Rattus norvegicus: one gene and its partners. The protein of the gene in region 4 interacts with the protein of the main gene of each other region in a pairwise test. Links are inferred from orthologs where the notes say so. Each region holds a gene or a part of one and is shown on either strand. Other genes may lie near its edges.

Region 1 (4,273 bases), on a different chromosome or scaffold from region 4:
ATGCAAGGCACTTCTTGACTACGGGACAATGGTCAAATACTGGAGAGCCACACTGGCTGGTCAGTCTGCCCTACACCAGTTACCATGAACCCCAGCCAGATGTAGCCCTGGTAGCACATATTATAATTCCATACCACTCTGGAGACTGAAGCAGATGGATCATGAGTTTGAGACCAGTTTGAACTACACAGCAAATTCCTATCTCAAAAAAACCTACATATTAAAAATATATGTGTTAAAAAGTATTTGGCTCAGGTAGTGGCCCAGCAATAAGGTTAAGACCTCTATTAGTCGCTTGGTTTGAACTCTGGCTCTCCTGCCAACCTGCAAGTTAAATTATATAAGTTTAGCTCTGTCCCTCAGTTTTCTCACCTGCACTTGAGAATAGACTAGATCCCTCGCATGAAAGTATTTAAGGTATTTATGGCATGCACTGGGTATCTAGAACCATTTATTGTCGTGATTATGAACGCTGTGACCATTCGGATACACTGGTATAGACCATAAATAACTAAAAATACCTTTAAAAAAAAAAAAAAGCTCTCCCTGTAAATTCCAGGATCCCTTCTGAGTCAGGGAGACTGGCAGTGCTAGGTTGGTCCTCACCGGGGTGCTTTATTTAGCAATGTAGCATGGGGCACCACCCCAGAGAGGTGTTGGGTATGCTGCCTGCCAGCTTAGAACACCTTGGAAACATGCTGGACATAAACACCCACAGAACTCCTCACGTCACTGATGAGCAGAAGGAAATGCTCTCTTACCCACTAGTACACACATGCAGACATGGGCACGGCACCAGCCCCCAGCTCAAAAGCAGTTTTTGAGAGTCAGGCTGCATGATTTCATGAGTCTGCAGACACAAGCATGTGTTTCTAGATTCACCCCATTCCTGCCTACCAGAGGGAAGGGGGAGAGCGGGGAAAGCAGGCAGCTGTTGCCCAGGAAGCTAGTCTGCTCTGGCTATTCACAGGACATTCTAGATGAGAGAAGGACATTCTCAACAGACCTGGCCACAGCAATGCCCAGCCTGCCCTTTGATGCCCGACGGTGGCAGTGGCTACCAACACCTCAGGGAGTGAGACCACTCAGTCACTTTCCACTTTCTCAGAGAACTGAGTTGTCTGTGAGCATGTCAAATGGCAACCACTGGCAAACTATCAGCAATGTGTTCTGCCTCCCTTTTCCATGCCAAGACTGGAAACAAACACACACCTGGCACTGTATGTGAACAGTCTCCAGGACATATTGCCCAGCCCAGAGAACAGCAGGTCTTCTAGTTCCTGGACACTTAAACTACAGGCTGACAGACAGACAGACAGACAGCAAAGATGGGTTTCTGGCTTCAGCTTAGATACCAACTATGTATGACCTCCAGGACACAGGTTCTGTTCCTGAGGCCAGTGTATCCCTCTTCCTCACATGTAAATCAAGACAGTGTATCTATACTTGGAGTAAAGGATGATAGGAGGCAGGGTTGGGTATTTGGCTCAGTGGCAGAGCGCTTGCCTAGGAAGCACAAGGCCCTGGGTTCGGTCCCCAGCTCCGAAAAAAGAAGAACCAAAAAAAAAAAAAAAAAAAAAAAAGGATGATACGAGGCCACACAGAGCTCTTTCTGAAATGATCTTTTCAGATTTAACCAGGTCTGGAGGGAATAATTCTTAAACGAATTAGGAAGAACCCATGTAGACATTCTACGAAAACAGCAGGGGAGGTAGGCTCTGGGCTGACTTCACAAAGGTACAAGCAGAGAGTCTACATAACTCAGGAAAAGCCCAGTCAGTGCAGTGCAGTGTACAGGTAGAAAATGGGGAGACATCTCTCTGCTGTAAACACACACACACGCACACGCATGCACGCATGCACGCGCGCGCACACACACACACACACACACACACACACACACACACACACAGAGAGACCCCCACAGGATTCCCTGTTCCCCCTATATTTAGCTCCTATACCTCAGGACCTACCCCCTCTGTAACAGCCCCTTTGCTCCCTCTACTCTAGAAATAGGTGACCAGATATGCACACCTTCAAATTCTTGTTCCCTCGTCTCAGACCCTACTCTCTTCCAGTCTTTCTTGTGCATGTCCCCTTTTACATAAGCCCTTCCTCTCATGCCCAGCCTCCCTACACCAAACACAGGGAAGTTCCTGCACACTCTGATCTCCTAGGAAGAGCGCGCGCGCGCGTGCACACACACACACACACACGCACGCGCACACACACACCACTGCCCCTGTGACATTGGAAGTGCAAGCCAGCGGGACTCCTTGACCTACCTCCACTTCCTGTCAGCCTCACTCATTCCCACAACTCTCCCCTCAACCTCCTTCAGCAACCTCTCCTCACCTGTTCCATACTCTGCAGCTGAGCCAGCTCAAGCAGGTCCTAGCCCTCCTGCCTCCCCACTGTGTACTGTCTTCTGAGCTGCTTCCTTCTGTCCATGAGCTATTCAAGGCCTCCCCATCCTCAGGCCAGGTAGACTCTCTGATTCGAGGTACCCACATCTGTACCACACACCCATCCCAGTACAAGGCACACACGGAACTGTGCTAGTGGTTAAGATACAGTTTTTTCAACTGTTTGGGAAATGGGTGAATTTAGTACATGTAAATTATATCATAGTAAAAAAAGGCTAGAATAAAATAGTTCCAATGGCACTCAGCCCCATTGTTGTCACCTTCCCCCAAACTAGTTCCTTCTCTTATGACCTCTATTTTCAGTACTGACATCATTATACAACTTCTTCACCATCTAGAACACTGACCCATATATCCTACCTGTATATATTCAGTCCACACGCTGAGTCCTATGGTCTCTCTGATTCCACTACCTGTGACACGGGTCACCCTATACTTATAGGCTGCCCCTCCCTCCCCTTCATGCCCATCCCATCACACAAGCAACTAGAGAAGAAACAGGACCTTTGAGCTCACCCCCCCCCTTCCCCACTGGCTCTCCTCAGTTCTTGACTGTTAACAAGAATGTTAAAACCATTTCCAGTTGCCAAACCAAGGCAACTCTTTTGATATTCCTGTCTAATTTTGCACACAGCTCTAGTTTCAACTGACAAAGATAATGACTCGTGTCCGTGACTCTTACTGGAAAATTATCCTGCCAACTTGTGAGCTTCCCAATATTAAACCTTCCTTAAGAAGGAAGTGATTTCCCTTCCATATCTTTTTCTGTGGCTAACAGAGGGCACTCCGAAAACCCCTACTTGGAATGTTCCCCCTCCCCCAGCTACGGAATCCTGACACATTCCCACAGAAATACAAATTCACTGTAGAGGCTGGGGATATTTTTCTTTTCCGATGTCTTATCTTTCATGTCCTCTGGATAGCCATCATTTTTAGGACTGAATAATAAATTCTGGGTTTCATGGAAAGCAAAACGTAGACCCAAAGGCAAAGCCTCTTGCTCTGCACAAAAGAAGACATGGTTTCTGGTACTAACTATAAAAATGTAAATAAATTCTACAACCTGTATATGTGCACACACTACATCAAAACACCTGCATGTGTGTGCATGTACATGTGTGGTGTGCAGCCAGACACTCCCCACAGACACAGGCATGCTCTCCTTCCACATTACAACACACACGTCTAAGCAAAATATGTGGCTAAGAAAAGTGTGCCCTCAGGGGGCTGGGGATTTAGCTCAGTGGTAGAGCACTTACCTAGGAAGCGCAAGGCCCTGGGTTCGGTCCCCAGCTCCGAAAAAAAAAGAACCAAAAAAAAAAAAAAAAAAAAAAAGAGTTTGGAGTTGGGAAGATCTGTCTTAGGTGGTTCATTAGCCCAAAGAGAATGCAGACTGCCTCACTTTTCCTACGTGCCACCTGGCCCCAAAATAATCACAATCCAGCTGTTTTCATTATTCACAAAGCTAAATATAGCATCCAAAGCTACCCTCGGAGTCGTACAGGTGCTGCTCTTGTAAGACAACAAGCCCCTCTACCCTCTTCTCAGAAGTGCCTTCCTCACTCCGAATATTTCCCAACCGCCTCCCTGACGGCATGGCCACCCGCCATAGCACAACTAGATGTCTGGCATGATCATTAGTCCAAATCCTCCGGCAAGAAGGTTGGCCTGACACACCCCAGCTCCAGAATCCTGTTCCAGACATCAAGTTCAAGTTAGCCTAAATCAATTTTCTACAGAGCTGCAAGCCCAACCCAGATTGGATGTCTGCACACAGCCTCTGCCCCTTCAGGAAGCCCAGCCAATGGAGGGTCCCAGCACCCAATCCCGCCCCTACAGCATTCTCT
Region 2 (4,094 bases), on a different chromosome or scaffold from region 4:
TCTGAGGACAGCGACAGGGTACTTGTAAAGTTAAAAAAAATTCTTGAAAGAGAGAGAGAGAGAGAGAAGGGGGGAGGGAAAGCCACCCCCTAAACCTCTCAAATGTAATTACTACACCGAATACTTAAACGTCGGGGGAATGCTCTAGCAGTTAAGAAAGGCGGAGCCAGGTGACATACACTTAATCCCAACAGACAGGTCTCCGAGTTGAGTTCGAAGCCAGTCCAGTCTCCGGTCTAGACAGTGAGTTCTAGGACAGCCAGGACTACATAGAACCTGACTCATTATTTGACTGAGTCGGCGAGCGCCCTAGGGATTGCACAGTCCCATCTATTACCACAGTCAAAGCTTCCAAACGGATTGGAAGCATGCGGACACCCCCAGGTCCGGTCGCCCTGGTCCTGCTCAGCAGTTCCAGAGGTGGGAAGACAGCATGTCCACAAAGCACCAGCACCAGGGAGGGGAGGGGTGTGTACGTCCATTCCCATTCATTTGCCTTTCTCCATCCTCCACAAAGCCGTACGCTGCTTCTTCATTGATAAGGTTAAGAGGCACCTAACTACCGCTTAAAACCCAGCTCAAAATGCTGCCACCCCAGAAATGCTAGCAAACTCTAAAGCTTGTTGATAAGGCTGGGGGTGGGGAGTGGGGCGTGGCTAAACTATCCCTCTCAGTCTTTGGCAGCCAGTGTCGAGTGTCAAGTGTTTTGTAAACTTTAGGCTACTTTGATCTTGCCTGGGAGGGTCCTAGGGTCTCTCTCACCTTAACACAGGCGCCAGATGCCGAAGGAAGATTACTACCACCATCCCGGTAAGGGTGGGGGGTGGGGGGCAGCCATAGTCTTTGACTGAGTAACACAAAAGCACAAGGCCCCTTTCACAAAGTAGTGAATAGATCACATGTCTGATAGATTAAATGCACCGGTTTTAAATACAAATACGTCGTGGATCGCTGATTTCATTTGTTGCCACACCAAACCACAGGATTCTTTTTTCAAACTGCCTTGTTTGGCTTCATATTCTGGCTATGTGGCCCTAGACAGACGCAAAGCACTTATGAAATATCCAAAGAGGTGGGGAGAAAGGGGAACGAAAACGAAGCCCGGGCCGGAGTGACCCTCACTGAGTCACCGTTTCCTCAATGGCGGAGCTCGCTGTTGGGGCGGCAGGGGGGGAGGTCGGGGGGGCGGAGGAAGAATCGGAAGAATGCAAGCTGACCTGCGCGTGGAGGCCGAGCCCTTGAGCAGGGAGCCCCCTACCCTGCAGCCCCGATACTCAGAGCCGGGAGGGCTGGGCCCGACGGCCTGGAGCGCCCTCCGGTGGCCGCGCCGCGGGCCCCACCACTGGGGCTCTTCCTAAGACCACGCTCCCCGCCGCGGAAGGAACGAGACACGCAGAAAGTTTCCGAGCCAGGCGGTCAGCAAAGGACAAGCCAGGTCCCGGAGGGAGCCTGGATGCTCGGACTGGGCAGGAGCCAGCGCCTAGACTGGAGGCGACAAGGAGAAATCTGGTTCTAAACGGACCCTCTCTAGGCCTCCGACGTGCCCCCAGGAGGGACTCTCGGCAGATCCCGACCGCGCGGGATATGTCCCTGCAAACCCACCTCGTAAAGGGTACATGGGGACAGTGGCTATCACCACGGCGGGGTACCCCGATACTCCGGCTGCAGAGCATGCTTGGAGTCTTGTACTCTGTGCATTTGCTTAATTGGAGGGAGGGGGCGCAACAGCTCCCTGTGACGCATTGTGGTCCCCAGTAATCTGATTCTAGATGTCCCCGAAGAGCTCACCTGGACTCCCCCGCCCCACCCCCACGCCTCCTTTCCTCTGCCGGGGTGACGAGTGGGAACAGCGAATCCCCAGCCTCCTCCCCTTACAGCCTCCAGGTTTGGGCGCCAGGGTTTCCCCGCCGCACGCAGTGGACCCGCCGGCCGAGTGGTGGCGGCTGGGGACCCGAAGCGGGCGAGGCCGGGCGCGGTGCCTACCTCGTCCACGGTGAGCGGCATGCAGATTCGGTACTCCTTCAGCAGCATGTTCCTGCCGGCCGCGGACCCCGGGAAAGAAGGGGGCGTCCCAACTGATGAGCAAGGCTGGAGCCCAGTGGAGGGCAAAAACGCTGGGAACCGGAGAGCGAAGCAGCCGGGGTGGTGCGCTCAGCTCCTAACTGCCTCCGGTCCGCCCCAGAGCATGTCAAGCTTCGGGTCCCGGTGTCTGTGACTCCCCCGCCTCCTTCCTCGCAGAGATCAGCTCTCCCGGTATTGCAAAGTCAGGCACTGAGGGAGGGAGACCCGCGGGAGACAGCTCCGATCAGCAGCCCCGGGCTGGTAGGCGCGGCTACCAGATCAGGACATGCCCGGCGGCGGGCAAGAGAGGCAAAAGGAAGGGGAAAAGGGATTTCCACAAATTCAAACAAATGCACAAAAGTCGCCCTCTCGATCCTCCTCCGAAAGCAGAGCTGAACCTGGCGAGCTCCCTTTTCTCCTACCCGTCTACCCTGGGTTAATGTCACCAGGAACACATTGCCGCGGGAGCCGGCGATGCTGACTTTCCAAACAAAGGCTCGATGGGCTCCTCTCCCCGGGCGGTAAACAAGATTTCCTGCTCTTTTTTAGGGCCAGTCCCCGAGTCTCTCCGGAGCTCAGCTGAGAGAGAGAAGGGAAACCGTGGCCGCCAGGGCTCTGCCCTGCTCTGGGCCCCGGGTGTCTTCAACCTCGGCGGTTGGCTGCCAGCGCCTTGCGCGCGTCCCCTCCCCCGAGTCCCTCGGCTCTGCGAGCTCCGTGCGTGCCCGTGAGTTTGCAGCCAGCTCGCCGCGACTGGAGAGTCCGCGCCGAGCTGCAGTGTGCCTGGGGCAGGGAGGTGGGTGCGGGAGGAGCGAGAGCGACGAGGCTGACATCAGCAGCGGCCGCGGCGGGGAGGGTAGCCCCATCCGGCCAATGGGGAAATGGCAAAGAATGTGGAGGATTTAAACAAAACAGCATGTCTCTCCCCGTCTGCTGCCAGACAGCCTGGGCTGTCCCAGAACCTAGAGCGGCTAGCGACGAAGAGAATCGCAAAGAGGGGCTATCCTGGACTCTGACAACGTTGGGATCTGTTTTCGAATGTACTCTGGGTGCCATGGGGCTCTCGAGTTAGTCGCTCTGGAAACTCAGTTTCCAAAGTGCACTAGTGCCCCTTGACTTTGGGGGTGGGAGCGTCTTTACAAATGCTCACAGCGAACATTTTTCTCTCTGATAGGGTAAGGCAAGGCCGAGGGCAAAAGAGGTGATGGTTTTACAGTATGTTTTTCTAATATGTTTTTAAGACGGAATCCTCCAGCAGTGTTGGTAAAAACAAAGTATAAATGCTCGCGCGCTCACATCACACACACACACACACACACACACACACACACACACAGAGAGAGAGAGAGAGAGAGAGAGAGAGAGAGAGATTGAGATTGAGATTGCCTGTTACCTCTTTCTCCCTGGCTCTACAATCCTACTGCAAGCTTCCCAGAGCAGAAAGAATAGGTTTTCGTGTCAGCACTCCTAAGTTCAAAAAGTCACAGTGAAATGTCAATTAAAATGCCTGGGGTGTTGGTATTTCATCCATATTAAACAGATCTCTCATTTTAACCACAAGAAGCACATTCTTCGGTTACTCAGGAAGCAGCATGTAACTGCTGAAGTCTGGTTTTCATTTGTCTGACTTTTTTTTTTTAGCTTGTTTTCCTAAAAATGGAAAAAAAATATGCATCCAGTGCCTATAGGAGGATAATCTGTAAGCATCACTGGCTCTCACGTATAGATGTGCGTGCGTGTGTGTGTGTGTGTGTGTGTGTGTGCTTGTGAACTCCGGAAACCTGTATCCACCCATAGAGCTTGCATAGGGCAAGGCAGACTATGCAGGCCTCAATAATACAGATGTTAAAATTATGCTCAGTAGGTCACTAAGCAACATAATGGGAATGGGCTCTGGCTAAAGTTGTCTAGATGACCCAAGTTTAGAACTCAGGGAACATGATCCACCCTGCTAGGAAAAGGACACCCTAATTCTAGCTTATATTTTGGTTAAGAAAGAAAGAAACAAAGAAAAAATATTTTCTAGATAAATGCTT
Region 3 (4,293 bases), on a different chromosome or scaffold from region 4:
CTCACATCCTCTGGGGTCAAAACTGCCTGCTGCCTCTCTTCATTTGTGGCAAGAACCCCCCCACCCCACGCCTCAGGGAGCCACCTGGAACCTCTGGTTGTCCTCTGTTCTCTTTAGGACACTGGGTCCAGGCATTCTCTGGTCCCCACAGGAGGGGCACCTGCTGTGGGCATCAGGACATCAGGGTCCAACCTCGTATGATGGAAACTGAGGCCAAACCAAGCTCCCCAGAAATAGATCTCAAAGAGGTCTACTGTACAAAGAACCCAGTAAGAGAGCTAGGATACCCTGAAGGGGACAGGAACCCTCAGGGCACTGAGGGATGAACTCAGAGGCCAAGGGAGGTCACCACCAGATGCGGCAACATTTGACAAGCATGCTCCCACGAAGCGTGGAATGGTTTAGTCTGGCCCACAGTTGAGCAGGTAGGACACACGTCACCCACTCTCAGCCATGCAAGTGTGGGAGAGTGGCCAACCCCGTTGTCAAATAGGTATGATGGTAAGATGGAAACTATAAAAACTACTGGAAACAACCTCGAAGGGGTGGATGAGGGCAAGGATCCAGAGGCCTCTGCAAGATCGTCCAGGGGACACAGTCAAGGAGCAGGATGCATGAGCTTAGACCAAGCCAAGAGGTGTGAGCACTTGTACAATACCACAGTAATCACCCCGCTACCTGCACAGCACTCCACGGAGATGAGTAAAAAAAAAAACCTCACTGCTGCCTGTCAGCGGGGGTAACGCGGAGTGTCTGCGGCAGATCCCAAGTCCTTACTAGCCAATGAGCCAAGGCAGGTAGAATCCTTCATTACCAGGGAAAGCAGCCAGAGGGGAGATAGGCCTCTGAGGTTCTAATCAAATGAGTCACTTGCTCTGTCTCAAAAGGCCCCATAACATCTCTTAGGCGTCTGTTTAACCTCCATCTTATGAAGGAGACGGACGTTAAACGACCTGTTTGAAATCACAACCAGCTGTGGCTGGAGTGTGACTCCACATCTATGAGGCAGGAAGAGGACATAAGGAGTTGGGGGTGGTGAGGAGGAGGGGTCGTGAAGGAGACAAGAAGGGGTGTGAACTCATCACACAGCCCAGGCTGGCCCTAAATTCACCATGCTTATGCCACAGCTGAGCCTGGTACACTGGGAGCTTCTGACAGTGACAGAGTCCTGAGGAAGTCCTCGGAAGCCTGCCACGGAGCATCGAGGGCCTGAGGGCACACTACACACGGACCTCAATTTCCAGACCCTCACCGGCTATCTCCATTCCCTCTGAGGGCCAGATGGGGACGAGAGGACCTGGTTCTGCCCTCTAGGCGTTAGGGTCTGAGTGTTGGGAGTGAACCTGCTGCAAGCTCTGTTTCAGGTGCCGGTCATGAGGAAAAGCGGAAGGGCAGGTGTCAACAACACCCAGCCAGGGCTTCCAAGGCCCCAGGAATCTCCGCCTGCCCTTCTCCATGAGCCCAGCGTGACCCACTGTGGTTTAGCATACAGCCCAAACCCTCATCTGGCCTACTTTCCTCCTCTAACATCCCAGCACACGCACGCACACACACTCACACACATACATGCTAGTACACACAACCCAAACCTTCACCTGGCCTACTTCCCGCCTATAACTCCACCCACCGCCATTCCCAACACACACACACACACACACACACACACACACACACACACACACACACACCCTACAGGGTCATGCCACTCACACTCAGGGCACATGCAGAACACCCTTGGCTCCTTCAGCTTGAAGTGTGACCTCCTCCCTTTCCATGAACAGAAAGTTCTACTCTCAGTGTCCGTCTTCAAACGCAGCTCTGATCTCTGCGTCCCTTCAGATCCCTAACCCAGATCCCATTTCCTGGGTACACACACAGCGGGGCGGCCCCTTCCTCGCCTTACAGCAGCAGGACCCCAAGTGCCAAGAGGCATCTCTTGGAATATGTTCATCAACTTTACATGGTGTGCACCTAACAGAGGCTCGGTCAGCTTGGTCCAGTGGGATCTGGACCGGGGCTGTCCCCTCCAGCCCAGTGGGAACGGAAGCCTCCACTGATGCTGGACTTCATGTGTCAGGAGCAGCTTACCCTTCTGACACCCGGCCTCTGTCCTTGCTCCCTTTCCCATCTGCTCTACGCATCCAGCCTGGCCAAGGCATTCCAGGCACTGGCCCCAGGATGCCCTCAGCGGGACATCTAATTTCTTCTCTAGAGTGGCCCCAAGGTGGATGGCCCCAGCCATTACGGTTCAGTCTAGCTTCCCATCTTCCCAGGCCACTTGACTCTACTTCCAGCAATAAACTTTCTCCAGAGAGAAAGGTGGCTCTGACCATGACAGAAAACCCTTACACAGGTTCTCCCCACTTCCCTAGGAGGCCCAGGACTGCTTTCTCAGGGGACGTGCGATACTTGAAGACTGAGATTCCTGGGCTCCCCTTAGGGTTGCTAATCGGAGCTCCACTAGCGGGATACCGCAGGGGGCCTCCCTGGCGCTCCACCCTCCCAGACGCCGGCGCTCGCGGCTCAGTAGAGCCGGGCGTGCCTCAGGTTTCGCTCATCTGGGAACGCGCACCCGAGAGCGCCCCTTCCAACCCGGGCCACCGCGCCCGGAGCCCGCTCCAAATTGGAGAGCGGCAGTGGCAAGCGGCAAGCCACGGTACCTGTCAGCAGTTGGAGCCTGTGTCCCAGCACCTTCATCTCGGCGTCGGAGGAGCGCGCTGGGCCGCCCGGGGCGAGGCGCGCAGTAGCCGCAGAGAGGAGCGGCGGGAGAGCGGGAGCGGCGGGAGCAGCAGCCGGTAGTGCGGTGCGCTCGCCGCCCCCTCCAGCAGGGTTTAAAAAAATCCACCAATGGCACAGCCGCGCACCCCAAAAGGCACCCGCCGCCACCTGGCCGTGGTGAGCGCCGATGGGGGGGGGAGAGTGTGACACCACGCGGGAGGGGCCCCTCGTGAACAAAGACGCCTGCCGCCCCCAGCCCTCGCGGGCGGACGGGCGACAGCCGTGGTCTCCGGGGGTCCGAGCCAAGAAGGCGAGGGGTGGCTGGGAGACAGGGCGTCGCCCTCGCGTGGGCGGAAGGTGGCCGGGGGGCGGGGAAGAGAAGGTGCGGGACTGCTGTGTGGCTGCGCCTAGAGGAGATCCCAAGGGTGAGGGAGCGGCGACTCACCCAGGCTGCCGAGCTACACGGTCGCGGAGGCGTGAGCCTGGCCTGGACGCCGCCGCCCACGAGCCGTGCAGGTTCCCCGCACGAGCGAGCCCGGGAGCTGGGGGCGGGGCGGGGCGCCGCGGGGGGCGTGCCAACGTGGGTGGGTGGGCGTGGGCCGCGCTGCGCGTCCCGCTTGTTGGCTGGACGCTAGCTGTTGCGGGCTGTGGGAGTGGGCGGGAGGCTCTGCTGGAAGACCCACAGGCCTGGCCCAGACGCAATCTGCAGCACCCGGCCCGGCTCCCAGAGGTTCCCATCTCTTTGCACTGCGTTCCTTGCGGAGCGCCAGAGACGCAGACTTCGGGCTTTGTTTGGGCTCCCACGGGGAAACTAGGCCCACTCCCGCCACCTGTGACCTCTCCTCCCTTGCAGTCCGACCTCACCCACCGGTCTGGGGAGACGCCGTGGGAGGTTGGGGAGAACCAGGAGTTCAGTGGTCCAGGAGCCAACGCTCCTCTGCTTGCAAAGCCTGAAGGTTTCTGAGGAACTCAGGCCACTTCCTGGCTAAAGATGTTCTTTCTGGGCACCCCTGACGGTTTCACTCACACTGTGACTTCAATCTCCTCTCTGCTGTTCACTCTCCGTTATCAGGAGCCGGAGAAGGAACAGGACTTTACTTTCCCTGAACTCCCTCTACTGGGGTCTAGTCCTGGTTCCTCGGAAGGAGGGTCAAAGGCCCTGAAGCATCATAAACCCTGAAACTGGGACGAGATAAAGATTCCTGGAGACTCTGTTCAGGCTCTAAAGATGACTATGGGCCCCTTCCTTACCTTTTCTCTGGGTTCCTGTCTTTATGACCCACAGAGAAAGTACTAGACCAGGAAATCTCTGAGGCCCTGGCTGTGAGGGAGGAGAGTGTCAAGAGAAGCCAGCCCACCTCTTCTGACTTCTGAAACCTCTCGGTAGGAGGTGCTTTGCCATTAGGCCTGGGCTCCAGGTGGCCAGCACCTGAAGTAAATTAACCCCACGGCCAGCTGAGGAAGCAGCTGAGATTTTGAGGCTGCAGGTGGTGCACACCTGCTTATGGTTACTTACTGCTTGTGGTTGAAGGGATTCTAACATGGTTCTGCCAGGCCTTGCCCTTCTCCCGCATT
Region 4 (3,972 bases):
ACCCCCTCTCTTTTGGACAAGGTCTCGCTCGGTTGCCCAGGCTGGCTTTGAACTGCTGGGCTCCACAGTTGTCCGGCCTCTGCTTTCCTCATGATGGAGGCTGTTCAGTTGTCAGCTGGAAAGCCTTTTCCTTGACTTGGGGTCCTGTCTTCCTTTCCTTTCCCAGGCTTCAGGACCCTGGATGGAAGGAGAGAACCATCCACACTCTCACCTCCACACTCATAGTAGGACATGCATCCACCTAAACAGATAAAGAAGAAATAAACATGGTCTCATTTTATAAAGCCAAGCAGGCTTTGATCTCGTGGTATTGCCTTGCCTCGACTTCCCAAAGACTCCTATTTACAGGCTTGGCTCGATGTACCTCTTTTTTTTTTTAATTTTTTTTTTTTTTTGCTGTACCTCCTTTTTACCTTTCTTTCTTTCCTTCTTTTTTTAAATGAATTTTATGAAATTCTCTCGAAATCCAATAAGCTTGAAGCAAAACTTTAACACAGTAAGAACTAATCTTCAATTTCTTTTGTATTTATTTATCTTATGTATATAAATGTCTCACCCGCCTGTATGTGCGTGAGGCCGTGTGTCTGGCGCCTGCGGAGGACAAAAGAGTGTGGTCGGATCACATGTACATGTACACCGGGTGGGTGCTGGGGACTGAACCCAGGTCTTCTGAAAGAGTAACAAGTGCTCTTAATCACGGAATCACCTCTCCAGCCCTCGCTTTTTTCCTTTATGGACATAAATTAATTCACCGACCCTCACGAAGATGATGAGGTAGGAACTGTACTAATTCTTGTGCAAGGGAAGGAAGAGAGGAGAGAGGGTGTCCTGGGCAGACACCAACTGTTATCACACCAGCAGTTTCTGCCTGGTTGCCCCCAGGCTCTTATGGCTGCGGGAGGTCCCACCACCTCGCCCCGATCCCAAGTAGGCAGCCGGTTGAGCCCTAGTCTGTAGAAATCCCGTCCTTCTGCTTGAAGCACAGCAGCTGGTAGAGGCCTAGGCAGTAGCAGGAGCCTGAGCCTTGCAGCAAGGGCAAGCTGCTAGACGCCGTCTCCTAGCAACCGACTGCAGTCACGTGGCCGCGCGGATTGGCCTCACGCCGTTGGAACTGGCGCAACGCGACGGGCGGGGCCAGGAAGTTTGTTCCCGAGTTCGGAGCCCAGGAGTCCCCGTGGCCGTCGCTCAGGTGCCCTCCGCCGGGTCGGGATGGAGCTGCCTGCCGTGAACTTGAAGGTGGCCGCGCGGCCGGGTCGGGCGGGGGTCCAGGAACCTGGGGAACGGAGTCGGAGCCGAGGGGAAGGCGCAGAGCCCCGGGGAGGAGGCGGCGGACACCGAGAGGGACACCTGGGGACAGAGACGGACAGGGCCGCCCCTCCCGGATGGACCCAGGCTGGCACGGGTCCCGGACCGTCCGGGCCAGCGCTCCTGGTGTCCCCCACAGCAGGACAGGGACACCTCTCCTCCTGAGAGGTCAGTGCAGTCCGGGTGGACCCCTCTGGGTGCTGGCTGAAGTTAGGAGAAACTCGGTGTTCCCAAACAATTGCTTCTCCCTAATTTCCGCATGCAGCGTCTTTATTTCATAATTAAGAAGCAGGAACTGTAGAGGTTTCCTAAAAGCAAAAAACCCCAGAGGCTGTGCTGGGCTCCGGGTAGCAGGGCTGCCTACGATGTCTTCATTTCCTAAGTTCTTTTTCTCTCTCAGCCCTCCTCGTTTGCAACAGAGGTGCTGGCCACTTAGCTTTGGCAAGAGCGGTGTGAACCTGGAAGTAAACCGGCCATCTTGGTTTCTTGGCGCAAGTTTCTTGAAACCCTAAACCTTCTCTCAGGTGTTAAACCACTAAGCACCCTTTGGTGTCTGAGACGAAAGGGACAGAAGATATAGGTGGCATTGGAGCAGCTGAGTGATTGATTGCACGCGGGCTGGGCTGTGACTTGCTCTGGCCGGTTTCCCATTCCTAAGCTGCTGGCTAAGCAGCTGGAGGGAGATTGGAGTAAAGGAATGGGTTTGAGTGGATCCGTTTTCTAGGGACAGATTTATGGGCTACTGCAGGTCTGGGAGGCAGCCTTAGGGGTCAGGCTCTGCCTTATTCTGCTTGAGCCTACCCTCCAATAAGTATGAGGACAGCATGAGTCTCTATGGTAGAACATTTGAGTAGCCCACACCAGGACTGGGGTTCCATCCCAGTACCACACACTAACAAATAATACTAAAACAGAAGCAGGTGGGAAAAGAGCTGGTGTTTATGGGCTGATATGTCTTATTCATTTGAGTTAGGGTCTCGTGTGGTACTGGCTAGCCTCAAACTTATTATGCAGCTGAGGATGGCCTCAAACTTCTGGTCCTCCTGCCTCCACCTCTCCAGTGCCAGGATTGCACGGTACTGGCAATAAAACCCAGGGCTTCTTGCTGGATAAGGAAGCACTACCAACCAAGCCATATCCCCAGCCTGTGTTGCTTTTATTCATCTCAGTCCTACACTGAGAACACTGAAACTGCATTCTGTTGTTTTTGTTTGGGGGGGGGTCTTGCTATCTAGCTCTGGCTGGCCTAGAACTCGCTATATACATCAGGCTGTCTTTGAATTGACAAGAGATCCTCTCGATTTTGCCTCCCGAGAGTGCTGGGATTAAAGGCACGCAGCACCACGCCTAGCCAGAGGAGCTATGCTCTTTCATCGGAGTGCAAACTTCAGCTTAGATCATCCAAGTAATAGCAGGTGCAATCGGGATTCGAACCCCCGAAGACCTAGCTCCCGTGCTTTGCATTTCGTGGTTATCAGTTGCTTAGGGCTAACTTTTGGTTTTCGTCGGCCTACATCAACATTTAGAACCTGATAGGCACAGTGTATCCACCACAAATGTGAGCTAGCAGGCAATGCAAAGACCAGGCCCCTAGGACTTGATTGACAAGCTCTGTGGATCTTGGCAGGGGCCAGTCAGAAGCAGGTCAGCACCGGGGGGGTTGTGAAGTAGCAGGTAGGAAGGACTTTCAGTCACTTTTGGGCTTTGCGCTGATGACAGCGTTTTACTGTATGTCTCGGTATTGGGGACACGCTGAATTACTCACAAGCTGAAATTCAGAATGAGCCCGAGAGCTCTGTTGTGTTGCCTGCAAGATCTGCAAGAACCCCATGGAAGGCAGCTGGGACACCATGGCTGCCCGCCTCAGTCCACCCTCAGCCTTTTAAAAAGGATGCCCTGCTCTGCTCAGCACTTGGCCTGGGCTCTGTGAAAGAAGTGGGTCCCTGACTAGGCCTCACCTACCCATGCTTCTCTTTTTTTTTTGGTTCTTTTTTTCGGAGCTGGGGACCTGGGGACCGAACCCAGGGCCTTGCGCTTCCTAGGTAAGCGCTCTACCACTGAGCTAAATCCCCAGCCCTGTACCCATACTTCTCTTAAGCAGAAGCTTGTAGCAGCTCAGGTTGGAGGAGCCTTGTGAAGTCCTGGGAGGAGCAGTGGGGGCAGGGAGGAGGCAGCAATGAGGCCTGCTGTGTAGAGTGTCCTCCACACTGTCCTCCAGAGCCCAGGAGTCCCTGCTGTGCTGAAGAGCAGGTGGCAGTTTATGTCAGACTTGCCCAGGTTCGTGTGGGGAGCTAGGATCCATTCCATGGTTTGCCTCCAAAGTCTGTCAGATGACCAGGGCAGGACCTGCCTCTCTCCTGGGCTACCTGAGTAGCCCTTAAACTTAGCTGTCCTGGGGGCATCCTATCTTGTCTAATAGGTCACCAAATGTTTTCACAGGACACACTGGGATGTATTAAGTTGAGGTCAGGGACATCCCCAACCCCTCCTCCTTTGGGACTGGTAAACAAAGACTTGCTTTGTTTTCTCCTGGTAGGGTACCACATCCCAGGCAAGTTTTCTACCACCGAGCCATAGTCCATAGCCCGGAACAAAGGGTTAATTAATACTCAGGGCCCTTAGACTTCTGCTGACCCACCCTTTTCCAAGTTAAATTTCACTTCCCTC
Region 5 (4,195 bases), on a different chromosome or scaffold from region 4:
GTCCTAAGGAGCACAGGGAGGGGCTGAGCTGAAAAAGTTGCTCCACGAGTCTAATCTGTGTGTGCAAGTTTATACATTGAGACCTGGGTATCAGTGGGATGGGGGATAAACCACTTGAGAAGATGTTAGGGTTTCCTCTGTGCCAACATAGGCCTCGCTGAAAGCTTCTACTCCGGCATTCCCGTGACAACGCTGGGACTCATCCTATTGTACGCTGGGTTTATGTTTTGAACGTTATAGAGAAAAGTCAAAGATCCTGTCCTTCCAAGTCCATCCGTGAGAGGGGACAAAGGACAGAGCAACTACAGCTTACTGTCACCTGCGAGAGGGGACAAGTGACAGAGCAACTGTAGCTTACTGTCACCATCTGTGCTTCCCAAGGGCCTGGCCTCCAGACTTCAAGTTCTTTATGTAAAGTGGGGCAGTGTTTGCCTGGAAACTTCATACATCCATACACATGCACACACACACAACACACACACACACACACACACACAGAGACATGTACAGACACACACGCACATGCACACACACAGAGACACACAGACACAGACACAGACACAGACACACACACAGACACACACACACACACACACACACACACACACACACACGCTTTTGGAGACAGGGTTTCTCTGTGTAGTCCTGGTTATCCCAGAACTCTACCTGCTTTGGCTCTCAAGAACTGCGATTAAAGGTGCAGAACATCATACCTGGCTATAATTTTTCTTCCTTGAGGGGAATGGGATTTATGTGATCCAGGCTAGGTTCAAACTTGCTAGCACATGATGACCTGTAACTTATGACTCTCCTGCCTCTACTTGGGAAGTGCTGGTCACAGCTGTACACCATCACCTGGCTCCTCCTCCTGCATCTTCTATATCATCTCTAAGTTACTTATGATGCGTCTTAGGATGCAGATGTTAGGGAAGTAGCTGTTATACTTTAGAGGACAAGACTATTCACAAGCTGGGTGTGGTGGCACAAGCCTTTAATCCCTGCACTTGGGAGGCAGAGGCAGGCAGATCTCTGTGAGTTTGGGGTCAGCCTGGTCTACAAAGTGAGTTCCAGGACAGTCAGGATACATACAGAAACTGTCTTGACAAGCCAAAAAGCAAAGCAAAGCGGCTACTCACATTCCATACCGGTGATGTTTACTTTAAAAGGGGAAAGCCAGGCATGGTAGCGCACCTTTCATTCCAGCACTGGGGAAGTAGAGGCAGCCATGTTTCTGGGAGCCTGGACTACAGAGGGAGTTCCAAGACAGTCAGTGCTATAGTGAAATCATGTCTCAAAAAACAAACCAAACAAACAACAGAAGGGAACAAATATTCCTAAATTGGAGGGTGGAGTTGTGAGATTTTGGACGAGGGAAAGAAGCACACACAAGGAAAGCCTATCTTTTAGGAACGGTGGGGACCCGCACTGAAGCATGAGTTCGAGTTGGAGGTGCAGTAGTGCTGTGATCATATCACACGTAACAGCCCATTTTCCTGTCTGCTGCTGTGATAAAACACCTGACAGAAACAACTGGGGAAAAGGTTTATTGTAGCTCACAGCATCAGACTGCAGTCCATCACAGAAGGGAAGGTGGCATAAACTTAGAATAGCAAGTCACATCTCTCCCAGACAAGAGGAGAGAGAAAACAAGGGCACACGAACTTCACCATCTTCCCCTCACACAGCCCAGGGATTGGTGCCTCCCACAGTGGGCCGGGTCTTACAAGGCAAGCAAACACCCCACAAACACGGCCAACCCCATCTGGATAGTCCCTCAATGAACCAATTCCCTGGTGATTCTAGAATCTAAATTGTGTCAAGTTGATAATGTTAATTAAAATTAACCATCACAGGGCTGGAGATGGCTAAAAGAGCGGGATGCTCTTGCAGAGGATGCAGGTTCAAGTCCCTGCATCCAGGCGTTGTCTCAGGACTTCTTTGATGCCAACTCCAGGGGATCCTGACGCCTTTTTTCCGACCCCCGTGGAAACCAATGCACTTGGTGCACAGACGTGAATGCAGACAAGACACCTCTACTCTTAAGCAAAAGGCCACCTCAGTAGATTGTCCTTGAACTAGAAGAATCCAGCAGCCTTCGGCAAGGACAGGAGAATGGAAAACTGCTGGTGTGAAAAGAAGTGAGTGCAGGAGGGAACTGATGGAAGTTCCAGGCTAAGGAGCAAGCCCAAAGCAAGCTTTAATTCCCAGAGCAATAAATTGCGTGGCTTCAATGATGAGGCAGTGTGACCTTGGCTGTCATGGACTTGGGGGTGGGTGGGTGGCCGGACTGGAGCATTAAAGTTAAATCAAGAAAGTCAGAACAGGCAGCGAGTTTGTGAACTCACCTCTGGTGATGATCATAACGGTGTCTCTGAGGGTTGTACTCACCACCCACATCCACCACGATGTCACACAAAGCCAGTTTTTCAGGATCCCGAGTCCGCACAATCTCTGCATTCTGCAGACACAGAAGGGGCTGTCAGATAGGAGTCAGAGAACTAAGGTTGGGTTTCCAGGGCGCGTGTCTCAGAGGACGGTGGTGCTTAGGCTTCTGCAAGCATCAGAGAGGACCTGGTTAGGTTCATGGGTCCATACCCTGTACTCGGGCAGTAGGCGGAGCAATGCGCAAGCCAGAGCCTCATCGCAGTGGAAGGTGCCGTTGTGCGTCCCGATTCGGGGCGGTGCCATGAGGTTGTTGCGAGGTCTTTTAGGGGGCAGATCGGGCTCCGAGACAAGCATGCAGTGCTGGACTTGGAGAACTGACCGGAGCGGCAACAGTGTTAAGACTCCTCGCAGGAACCCTCTACCCATAAGGTTCCCTCCACAGGAAGATCGACCCGGAAGAGGAAGTCTCTGGTACAGCTTCACTTCCGCCTGCCATCTGTCCCCATGGCAACAAGCAAAACCGCACGAGCAACTTAGTGCAAGCCTTCTTACAGCTCCTCAAACCGCTGGTTGGAACTTACAAAAGGCAGTGTGGCTAGTCCAGTTTGGGGGCTCCTGACAAAAGTAAACCCCCCGGGCACTCCCAGTTCACCACCGGTCCCGCGTTTAATGTAAGAAAAGACCACCATTTGCACAGCTGGCACATTTATTAACATTAAACACAAGACCCTCTCTTCCCAGACACTTTCCCAGGAGGCCACTGCCAAAAAAAGTCCCAGGCCCCTTGAAAAAGGGTCCTTCTCTGCTTCGTTTCCGCGACACATTCTCATGCCTTGGCAGTGGCCTGCGTTGCCCCCAGGGCTGTGAGCTGCTGAATCTTCTGGCTCATCATTTCCACGACGGCTACAAGAAAAGAAGGAGCAGTCACATCCTAGCGAGAGTATGTTGAGGACCCAAGGTAGAAGAACACTGACAGTTAAACCACTAACCACTGGAATGTAAAAATAAACACAATGTTAGCCATAACCATAAGACTGTCATGTGAGGGCTGACAACACACAACACTGAAGGCCATATTCAATCTCCAACACCACTTAAAAAATGAATCAGGAGGCTGAGTCAGGTGGATTTCCTTGCCTTCCAGATCTGTTCTGCCTATAGAATCTGGTCTATTCTCTATTCGATACTCTAGTTTATAGTATAGAATGAGGTTGTCTCAAAATAAAAATAAGCCCCCCTCCACCACTGCTTTAAAATCAAGACCTTTAAAAAAAAAAAAAAAAAAGCACTCCCAGAACACCTTCCTACACCCTTTTCCAGATCGATTTCTGAACTGGACCTACACTTTCCTTTTTAACTTCCTGGTAATTACTAGTGTTTATTTAACAGATCCCTATGCACTTATAGTCATTTCATCCCGACTCATTAACAGACACCAAAGAGAAGCAGAAACGTCTTTTGTATTGTTGCTGCTTTTGAGACAGGGTCTCTACATAGTCCTGGCTGGCCTCAAACTCGCATGTGCCTGCCTCTGCCTCCCAAATGCTGGGTTGACAGGTGTCACCACCACGTCCCACAGACACGTGAAGATGTCTTCCAGCTTCATGTTATGCTCCATATTTTCTTCATGTTTGTATGGGGTGTGGACGCGTGTGGAGACCAGAGGAGAGCATGGCATCTCACTGTGCTTTGTCATTCTCTGCCTCTCCCTTGGGACAGGGTCTCCATTGAACTTACCAATTCAACCAGGGCGGCCAGCCAGTGCACTCCTAGATCTGTCTGTCTCTGTCCCACCAGCACTGGAGTTACA
Region 6 (4,309 bases), on a different chromosome or scaffold from region 4:
GCTCAAATCCCGCGCGGCCCCAGATCCCGGAGCCCCGGCCCACGTCTTCCGCCGCGGGCGGGGCAGGCCCGGGAAGACTCACCGAGGCCCGCCCGCCCGCCCCGCCCGCCGGTGCCGGAAGCGTAGAGGGAGCGGCCGGGAGAGACGAACTAGGGGTCGCCCTTCCCTTCCCCCCATCTAACCTTGAAGTCGTTGCCGCTGAGGTCCACGCCGCGCACGAACGGCAGCACCCCGGTGGCCTCCATGGTGGCGTAGCTCTCCTATGGGCTAGGAAGACGCAGGGTAGCCGGGAGCCGCGGGCTGGGTCAGCGCCGGCCCCGCCCCTTTAACCCGCGCGCGCCTCCTCCCGGCCGCGGCCTCTGCGGGAAGTGCTGCTAGGCGACTCCCAGAGCTTCAGGCCTCGAGTTGTGGGACTGGAGAGGCCTGCGGGGGTCCTGCTGGAGACGATCACCACTTCCAGTCTCCAGTCGCAACGTGGAGGGTCGGGTCCAGGCATTGTTGCTTGGGCTGCTGTAGACCCTGAGCTGGCCGTGATCCCGGAGAGATTTCGGTACCAACGTCAGGGACACAGGCAGTCTCTGCGTGAGGGACCCGTGGTGGTGGTGAGACTTCCGGGTCTTTGGGCCTAGCTCTTCATCTTTGGACTCAACTTTGCTCGTGTGTAACATGCTTCCCAAAATTGTCAGAACCAAGTGAGTACTCAGGAGTGTCAGAGAGCAGGATGCACAAACCCTCAAAATTCTCCCTTGGCCTCAGGATTCTAGCCAGTGCTCTTTATAGGCTTGTTTCATGCTCTAGAAGACCAGCATATCTCGTCAGCTAAGCTGTTAGTGGCCATCTTGCCCTGGCCTGCACATCGTAGGTTTCCAATAAACAGACACAGCTGTTCTATGGATGTACAGGGACTGGCACCCAGTGTTTCAGAAGGGAAGAGACTGGTAGAGTTCGCACAACAGGTAACAGAGCTCTTTTCCCGGTGTGTGCCAAGCGGGCCAAAAGGAAATGAGACCACCAGTCACTCTAGCAGGGGCAAACTTGAAAGACAGAATGTGGGCCTTTGGGCTAGGTGCAGTTTTGTCTGCCTGGTCCATCAAGGGACCGTGAGCTCAGACAGCTTTCTCCACACTGAGGCTCCCACTACAAGTACACACAAGGTCAGATGTGAGGCTAAGGCACGACTGCAGAGAATTCGATGTCAGTCATGGCTTTAGTGTGAGGCCCTTCTTCAACAAAACACCCCCAAAGTAAAACTAGAGCAGGCCCTGGACGATTGTCATTCACTCACTACTTCCCCCGCACCTTGGGTTTACAAGGTAACCTTGCGCCTTTAAATCCGGAGTGTCTGTGGTTTCCGCCCCCAGGTCCAGGGCGTGCCTGGTGTTCATTGGCTGAGCTGCTCAGTTTTGAGCACGTGTGCGCAGGAGTTGTGCGCTCCGATTGGAGCGAAGGCCTGCTTATCCAGCGTTCCTTTCGGGTCATTTGCCGCCCCGGGCCTCGGCGTTCGGTTCCCGGGGTCTGGACGCTCCATTCCTAAGCGGGTCCTCCTGGGCCTCCAGGGTCCTGCTCGCCGCGTCCTTGGGTCCATGCGCTGACGCTCGGACGCAGGTACAGCTACAGCGCAGGGGGCGGCCGGGGTCTCCTAGTATTGGGCGTGGCTTGTATCCCAGTGCAGGTGGGGGCGTGGCCTGTGGTCAACACTGCGGTGGGAGGGAGGACTTGGGAACTAAATATCCGAGTTCGAATCCCAGGGGTGCCTCTTCCCAACTTGGGTATTGCACAGGATTTCCAGGGTCTCAGTGACTTCGTTCTTGAATAGAGTCTAAGAGCCTTTTGTATGTGGTTACACGTTTCTGTTCAACCCTGATCCAGGGCAGTCAGCTTTGGCAGAAATGGAAGAACAGGTGACATCCAGGCTGTGAAGAGGCAGGTTATTTTGTTATTTTGTTTTATTTTGAGAAGCGGATCTATTATGTAGCTCTGGCTGTCCTCGAACTCAGTGTGTAGACCAGGCTTGCCTTGAACTCAAGGAGACCTGACCACCTCTGCCTCCTGAATGCTAAAATGAAAGGCCTGCGCCACCACAAGGGCCTGAGTTGGCTTTATTTAGCCACCTCTTTTATTCCCTTCTTACCAGAGTTTGAATACAAGACCCCTCCAGGTGTAGGACTGAGTCCCACGTTACGCAGGCGGTGGAATGTAAGCTAAGTCCCCTGTTTGCAGAGTGGCTCACTGGTCTGAGGGCAGCGATAGGTTTCGAGCTTGTAGTAGGTCCCCTGGCTGGCCTTTGATCTTGCCAGGCCCTAGGACAGGACAGGGTCTTATTTTTAGTTCGGGAGCCGTGGACAGGTGTCTCAGCTGAGTCACACAGTGCTTCAGGCTTCAACTACTCTAGGCATCTTGTCACTTGGCAACTAGGTCCCAGGGCAGCCATGGCCCTGAAGGAAGGGCTGAAGTCCTTGGTGCCCCATCAGGCAATGACCTTTCTGGCTTAGTGGACCAGGCCTAGAGATTCCTGTGTCTTTCTCGAGTTCCTGACCCGGCCAGTCGCACACTTCCCAATCTAACTCACTGGTGCAGTCATATAGATAAACAAAAGAAAGTCCTTGGCTCCAGGTCTTTCTCTCACATTCTTACCCTCGCCAACTCTGTTCAAGTCCATGGGCCCTGGGCAGCCTGTCCTGATTCAGTGTTTATTTAGGGTTACCTTACTCACCACTGGACTATGGGGCCCTCAGCCTGGTCTCTGATGGGGTTGCCCTACCCCAAGTAGTTTTCCTGTCAAGATCTGGGGGGCCAGTAACTAGATCCCTGAATTTGCTAAGGGTCTATCAAAGGTCTGACAGGCCTCACCCAGGCAGGCTTCCTGGAAACCCATATTGCAAGTCTTTCTGGGGCTTTGGGTTCCTCCTGACAGGTTGTCACACAGTGTGGCTGTTCTGGGTGGGTCCTGATGAGGAGTATGAGAACCTGGTCAGGAGGCATAGGGATAATACTCAGGCTGGGGGGTGGAAGAGTCTAGAGGCTGTGCTGTGAGTCCCAGACCTTACCACTCAGTTTGTGGCCTGGCAACTCATGTCTTTGTAGAGTAAGGGTGGTGATGACGAGCCCAGGTTCCCAGCATCTCGGGGTGAAGTCAGGACAAAGGCCTGGAGCCTTCCTATATCAGCCCTTTTCCAAGGCTTGGAAGCTTGCAGGTTCCAGGGAGGGGCTGGTAGGTCCCCTGCTTCCCTCCAAGAAACTCTTTGCGCAGCCCCTTTCTCTCGGGTCCTTAGAAACCGCCCTCTTGGTTATTGCTAAGCACCTATGCACGCTGGCCCTACGAATTGCTTCTCTTGCAGGTGACCATGGCAGAGTTCTCACAGAAGCAGAGGAAGCAGCATGGTGGCGAGGGCCTGGGCAGTGTGGTGGACTTCCTCTTGGCTAACGCTCGTTTGGTGCTAGGTGTGGGCGGGGCTGCAGTGCTGGGCATTGCCACCCTGGCCGTAAAGCGGGTAAGGCCATGGTGAGGCCTGCCTGAAACCTCCACAGGAGAAGGCCAGGACGGGGGAGCTGGGGGATGGTGGGACTTTTGGAAGTCGGACTGGAGCTCAGAGCCCCTACTTTTTCACCCTAGCTTCCTGGTTTGCTTTACTCCCCCTCCCCGCCGCCCCCAGCTTTGCCGTGCAACCCCGCACCCCCCCCCCCCCCATGCTCTGATCTGTGTCACTTTGCCTGTAGCTCATCGACAGGGCAACTAACCCTCGTGATGAGGATGACACCAAGGGGGACAGCTGGAAGGAACTGAGCCTGCTGAGAGCCACTTCACACCCCAAGCCCCAGCCCTCTCCTGCTGCCTTCAGCCAGCCCAAATCTCCTGTGTCCCCCTCCCCCTCTGCCCCAGGTGAGCTGCACTGCCTCCTTCTAGTGTGGGGAGTCCCCTGTGCACGCCCATGCGGAAGCTGCAGTCTTCACATATTTCTGTTCCTCTTTGGGTTGTGGGCAACTCAGATGTTTAATAGGTACTGTAGGTTTGTGTTTTTCTGGATAGAACCCAGTGCCTCACATGTGCTAAGCAAACGCAAACCTCAGCCCTGGGATCCTTGTTTTTGCCTGTCTGCTCTCTACTATAGCAAGGTTGCACCATGTGATGGTAGGGAGCCAAAGATGGGGAAACTGAGGCCTGGAGAGGGGCAGGATCTCTCTGACCCATTCTCCGTGAAGTTGTTGCAGTTGTAGAAGCCACAGTGTTGGGACTCTGGGCCAATGACTTTGTCATCATGCCCTCACTGTCCCATGACCTGCTTGATGTCAGGGTTTACTCAGTAGCTGT
Region 7 (2,758 bases), on a different chromosome or scaffold from region 4:
CTCTGTGAGCCTAAGTGTCCACTTCTGGCATTAGGATGTGGTGAAGTATTGAGAAGACCTCTTTAGTTGCAGCCTCTACGACAAGGATGAATTCGGGAACCACTGGGTATCACCAGGATCACTGATGTCTGCAAGGAAACTAATCTAGAGTTGATATCCAGAAACTAAGCGGCAATGGAAGGGCAAAGAGAAGGCAGGCAAGAAAGACCACAGCGACCTAACCATGTCTATTTTCCTAGGTCTCATTGGTCAGGATGGCACCAATATACACTTGTGCATGTATGGCTGACTGGATCATGTCCTACCACATTCACACAGTAGCTGTGTGCCCACTCTCTCTCACTGTTTCTGCAACTCTGTACATTTCTTTCTTAGCTGTGAGGTATCCCCTAAGTTCCTTCCAGCTATGGCTTCAGCCACTCATTTGAAATCTCCCGAGACACACACACCACACCCTACCCACAACTATTGCAAAGGACTGAGGCAAGCCACACGCCAGGGTGCAGTTAGGATTTTAATGATGGTGGTGACAGGTGTGGAGACTACTCAGGAAAGAAGGGAATCTGGGAAAGTCCTTCCGTTGGTATCAGGTAGACTTTGTGTGGATGATAGTAGAACTTCCCAGAAAGAAATGCCACCGGAAGTAAAATAAAGCCAGTGGAGACTAACCTTCAATGAAAACAGAGAAAACATCAGAACACTGGCTGTCGCAGCAGCAGAGAGAGTAGTCTTTACTGGGCATTAATTAGATCCTCTCTGTGTCCACCCAGTCCTACTGTGCCCAGCATGACTTGGGGCATCTAGACGGGAGATGCAGATTTGCAGTCCTGTTCTTGCCCCTTGTCCTGTCCACTTCCCATCCCTTCTTCTGGAACAAAGACACATGGGAAAAGATTACGTGGAAGGCCATGTCCAAGCTAGGGTGAGGATTCAACCCATGGTCAGTGGCGTATGCACAAAGTTAGATCTCAGTCAAAAAAAACTCCCAATAATTTCATTTAGTAACACAGATCCTGGCTCATTCTGGGTTCATGTTGCTGGCTCAGCATTCAGGGTGTACTCAAACTCAGAGTTCAGCCTGGATTCGATCAGGCCTCAATTTCTTTAGTCTTGTGACAGAAATAAAATTAGGCTTACCCTGCCCTCCTGACAGGCTGCTGTGCACAGAGCACAGAGCCTACATGTGATTGATGATAACCACCCCCATAGGCTCATATAATTGAGTTATATTTTATAATAACTGTTACAAAAGCTACTTGGGAAGGATTGGGAGGCATTGACTTATTGGAGGAGGTGTCACTAGGGGTGAGCTCTAAGATTACAAAAGGCAATGCCATTGCTAGTCAGCTCACTCTGCCTGGTGATTGTCTCAGTACTTAAGTCTCAGCTACTACTCCAGCACCATGCCTGCCTGATCCCATGATTCTCACCATGATAGTCTTGGGCCTTAACCCTCTGGAATTGTGTCTTCAATGCTTTTACACTTTCCCTTGGTCATGTTGTTTTCTTTTTTTTTTTTTTTAAGTTTTTTTTTCCCGGAGCTGGGGACCGAACCCAGGGCCTTGTGCTTGCTAGGCAAGCGTTATACCACTGAACTAAACCCCCAACCCCGGTCATGTTGTTTTCTAATGACAATAGAAAAATAATGAAGACACTGCCCATACCAGCAGGGGTTGTCATGGCTTCCTCCTTCTGTTCTTCCTCTTCAGAGAGGGACTGCTAGCTGTCCTGTTAGTACATTAGCTGAAGGAAACAAGTCAAGATTAGCCTCAGTCCTTGTCATGGCAAATTGAACAGAAGCCCACCGAACTTGTTTCCTCCCTCCAGCTCATCACTCTGTCACCTGTGTGACCTCAATCAAGTATATCACTATTCATTTGTGCCCCACTGGACAAACTCTTGTGAGGACCCAATAAGGTAATGGGAGACACAGAAAGACTGTGTAAAGAGACATCCATAGAGGGACCACCTCCAGGACCTGACATCATTGGTGCCTGATTCCTGTTGTCCCAGAAACTCTGTCAAGCATGAGAAGATAGGCTCAAATGAAGTTCCCAGTGAGAAGAGGAGGAGCCAATGGCCTGCCTTAGTCAGGAAACAAAGACTCTGTATCCCTGGATGGGGTACTCCTACAACTCCTGCATTGGCCCATAGAAAGCACTCCATCCCCAGGCTGTGACTTACAGAGGAGACCCTGAATAGCACTTCCACTCATTGTGCTGAGGAGGTACTGGAGCACTGGGCATAGCTGAGAGACAAAAAGAAGGTAAGCGTATTAAAAAGAGGAAGAGAAAAGAAAACAGACGAGACTTTGCTGGGAACATGCTGCCCACCTACCCCAAGCAGAGGGACTCATTTCCAGGATCCAAGGACAGTTAACTTTGCAATCCCGAACCATGGAATGGCAGCAATCTGAATCAGAACTGTCCCAGGTTACTAACAACCCATCATCCCAGGATGTCAGGAGTCCAGCATCTGCCTATCTGGGATCCAGAACCCTAACACCCCAGACTCCTAACAACCTTGAACTCTTGAACCCTGGAAGTTTAAAGTCCTCAGAAGGCTGAAGCCTCTGGAGAGGCCTGAATATGGATGTCTAAATAAGGGTGTGTTGGTTGCAAGAAAACCTTAGCTTACAGGTAGCTGTTCTGCAGAGACACTGTAAACAGCTCAAGGCAGGACCTGTGGTTTCTGCCTCTGCAGCCCAGCTACTGAGGAGGAGGAGGGGGCAGCAGACATCTCAAAGAGAAGTCTGCTC

The links.
Region 1: the proteins of Agtrap (region 4) and Coq8a interact in binary tests that used the Homo sapiens proteins (3 or more experiments, as listed by UniProt). The two-hybrid records come from large-scale screens. The link is inferred for Rattus norvegicus from reciprocal best matches to the Homo sapiens genes AGTRAP and COQ8A.
Region 2: the proteins of Agtrap (region 4) and Pitpnc1 interact in binary tests that used the Homo sapiens proteins (3 or more experiments, as listed by UniProt). The two-hybrid records come from large-scale screens. The link is inferred for Rattus norvegicus from reciprocal best matches to the Homo sapiens genes AGTRAP and PITPNC1.
Region 3: the proteins of Agtrap (region 4) and Ndrg4 interact in binary tests that used the Homo sapiens proteins (3 or more experiments, as listed by UniProt). The two-hybrid records come from large-scale screens. The link is inferred for Rattus norvegicus from reciprocal best matches to the Homo sapiens genes AGTRAP and NDRG4.
Region 5: the proteins of Agtrap (region 4) and Myg1 interact in binary tests that used the Homo sapiens proteins (3 or more experiments, as listed by UniProt). The two-hybrid records come from large-scale screens. The link is inferred for Rattus norvegicus from reciprocal best matches to the Homo sapiens genes AGTRAP and MYG1.
Region 6: the proteins of Agtrap (region 4) and Mief2 interact in binary tests that used the Homo sapiens proteins (3 or more experiments, as listed by UniProt). The two-hybrid records come from large-scale screens. The link is inferred for Rattus norvegicus from reciprocal best matches to the Homo sapiens genes AGTRAP and MIEF2.
Region 7: the proteins of Agtrap (region 4) and Bpifa2 interact in binary tests that used the Homo sapiens proteins (3 or more experiments, as listed by UniProt). The two-hybrid records come from large-scale screens. The link is inferred for Rattus norvegicus from reciprocal best matches to the Homo sapiens genes AGTRAP and BPIFA2.

The regions. Positions count from the first base shown.
Region 1 is NC_086031.1:94,460,566-94,464,838, forward strand, and holds the start of Coq8a (atypical kinase COQ8A, mitochondrial), read right to left. Parts: upstream 2,814-4,273; 5' UTR 2,787-2,813; intron 1-2,786. UniProt on the Homo sapiens protein: Atypical kinase involved in the biosynthesis of coenzyme Q, also named ubiquinone, an essential lipid-soluble electron transporter for aerobic cellular respiration.
Region 2 is NC_086028.1:92,925,532-92,929,625, forward strand, and holds the start of Pitpnc1 (cytoplasmic phosphatidylinositol transfer protein 1), read right to left. Parts: upstream 2,814-4,094; 5' UTR 2,032-2,813; coding exon 1,984-2,031; intron 1-1,983.
Region 3 is NC_086037.1:9,390,168-9,394,460, forward strand, and holds the start of Ndrg4 (protein NDRG4 isoform 1 precursor), read right to left. Parts: upstream 2,806-4,293; 5' UTR 2,698-2,805; coding exon 2,661-2,697; intron 1-2,660. UniProt on the Homo sapiens protein: Contributes to the maintenance of intracerebral BDNF levels within the normal range, which is necessary for the preservation of spatial learning and the resistance to neuronal cell death caused by ischemic stress.
Region 4 is NC_086023.1:163,799,371-163,803,342, reverse strand, and holds the start of Agtrap (type-1 angiotensin II receptor-associated protein), read left to right. Parts: upstream 1-1,168; 5' UTR 1,169-1,209; coding exon 1,210-1,236; intron 1,237-1,338; exon of another isoform or gene 1,339-1,473; intron 1,474-3,972. UniProt on the Homo sapiens protein: Appears to be a negative regulator of type-1 angiotensin II receptor-mediated signaling by regulating receptor internalization as well as mechanism of receptor desensitization such as phosphorylation.
Region 5 is NC_086025.1:135,333,981-135,338,175, reverse strand, and holds the start of Myg1 (MYG1 exonuclease precursor), read right to left. Parts: upstream 2,813-4,195; 5' UTR 2,812-2,812; coding exon 2,596-2,811; intron 2,459-2,595; coding exon 2,346-2,458; intron 1,245-2,345; exon of another isoform or gene 1,139-1,244; coding exon of another isoform or gene 1,137-1,138; intron 4-1,136; coding exon 1-3. Other genes in the region: Pfdn5 (prefoldin subunit 5), read right to left, coding at 3,212-3,288. UniProt on the Homo sapiens protein: 3'-5' RNA exonuclease which cleaves in situ on specific transcripts in both nucleus and mitochondrion. Involved in regulating spatially segregated organellar RNA processing, acts as a coordinator of nucleo-mitochondrial crosstalk.
Region 6 is NC_086028.1:45,907,225-45,911,533, forward strand, and holds the start of Mief2 (mitochondrial dynamics protein MID49), read left to right. Parts: upstream 1-1,484; 5' UTR 1,485-1,605; intron 1,606-3,338; 5' UTR 3,339-3,344; coding exon 3,345-3,491; intron 3,492-3,717; coding exon 3,718-3,880; intron 3,881-4,309. Other genes in the region: Flii (protein flightless-1 homolog), read right to left, coding at 183-245. UniProt on the Homo sapiens protein: Mitochondrial outer membrane protein involved in the regulation of mitochondrial organization.
Region 7 is NC_086021.1:162,959,241-162,961,998, reverse strand, and holds the end of Bpifa2 (BPI fold-containing family A member 2 precursor), read right to left. Parts: intron 2,249-2,758; coding exon 2,185-2,248; intron 1,744-2,184; coding exon 1,706-1,743; 3' UTR 1,665-1,705; intron 670-1,664; 3' UTR 503-669; downstream 1-502. UniProt on the Homo sapiens protein: Has strong antibacterial activity against P.aeruginosa.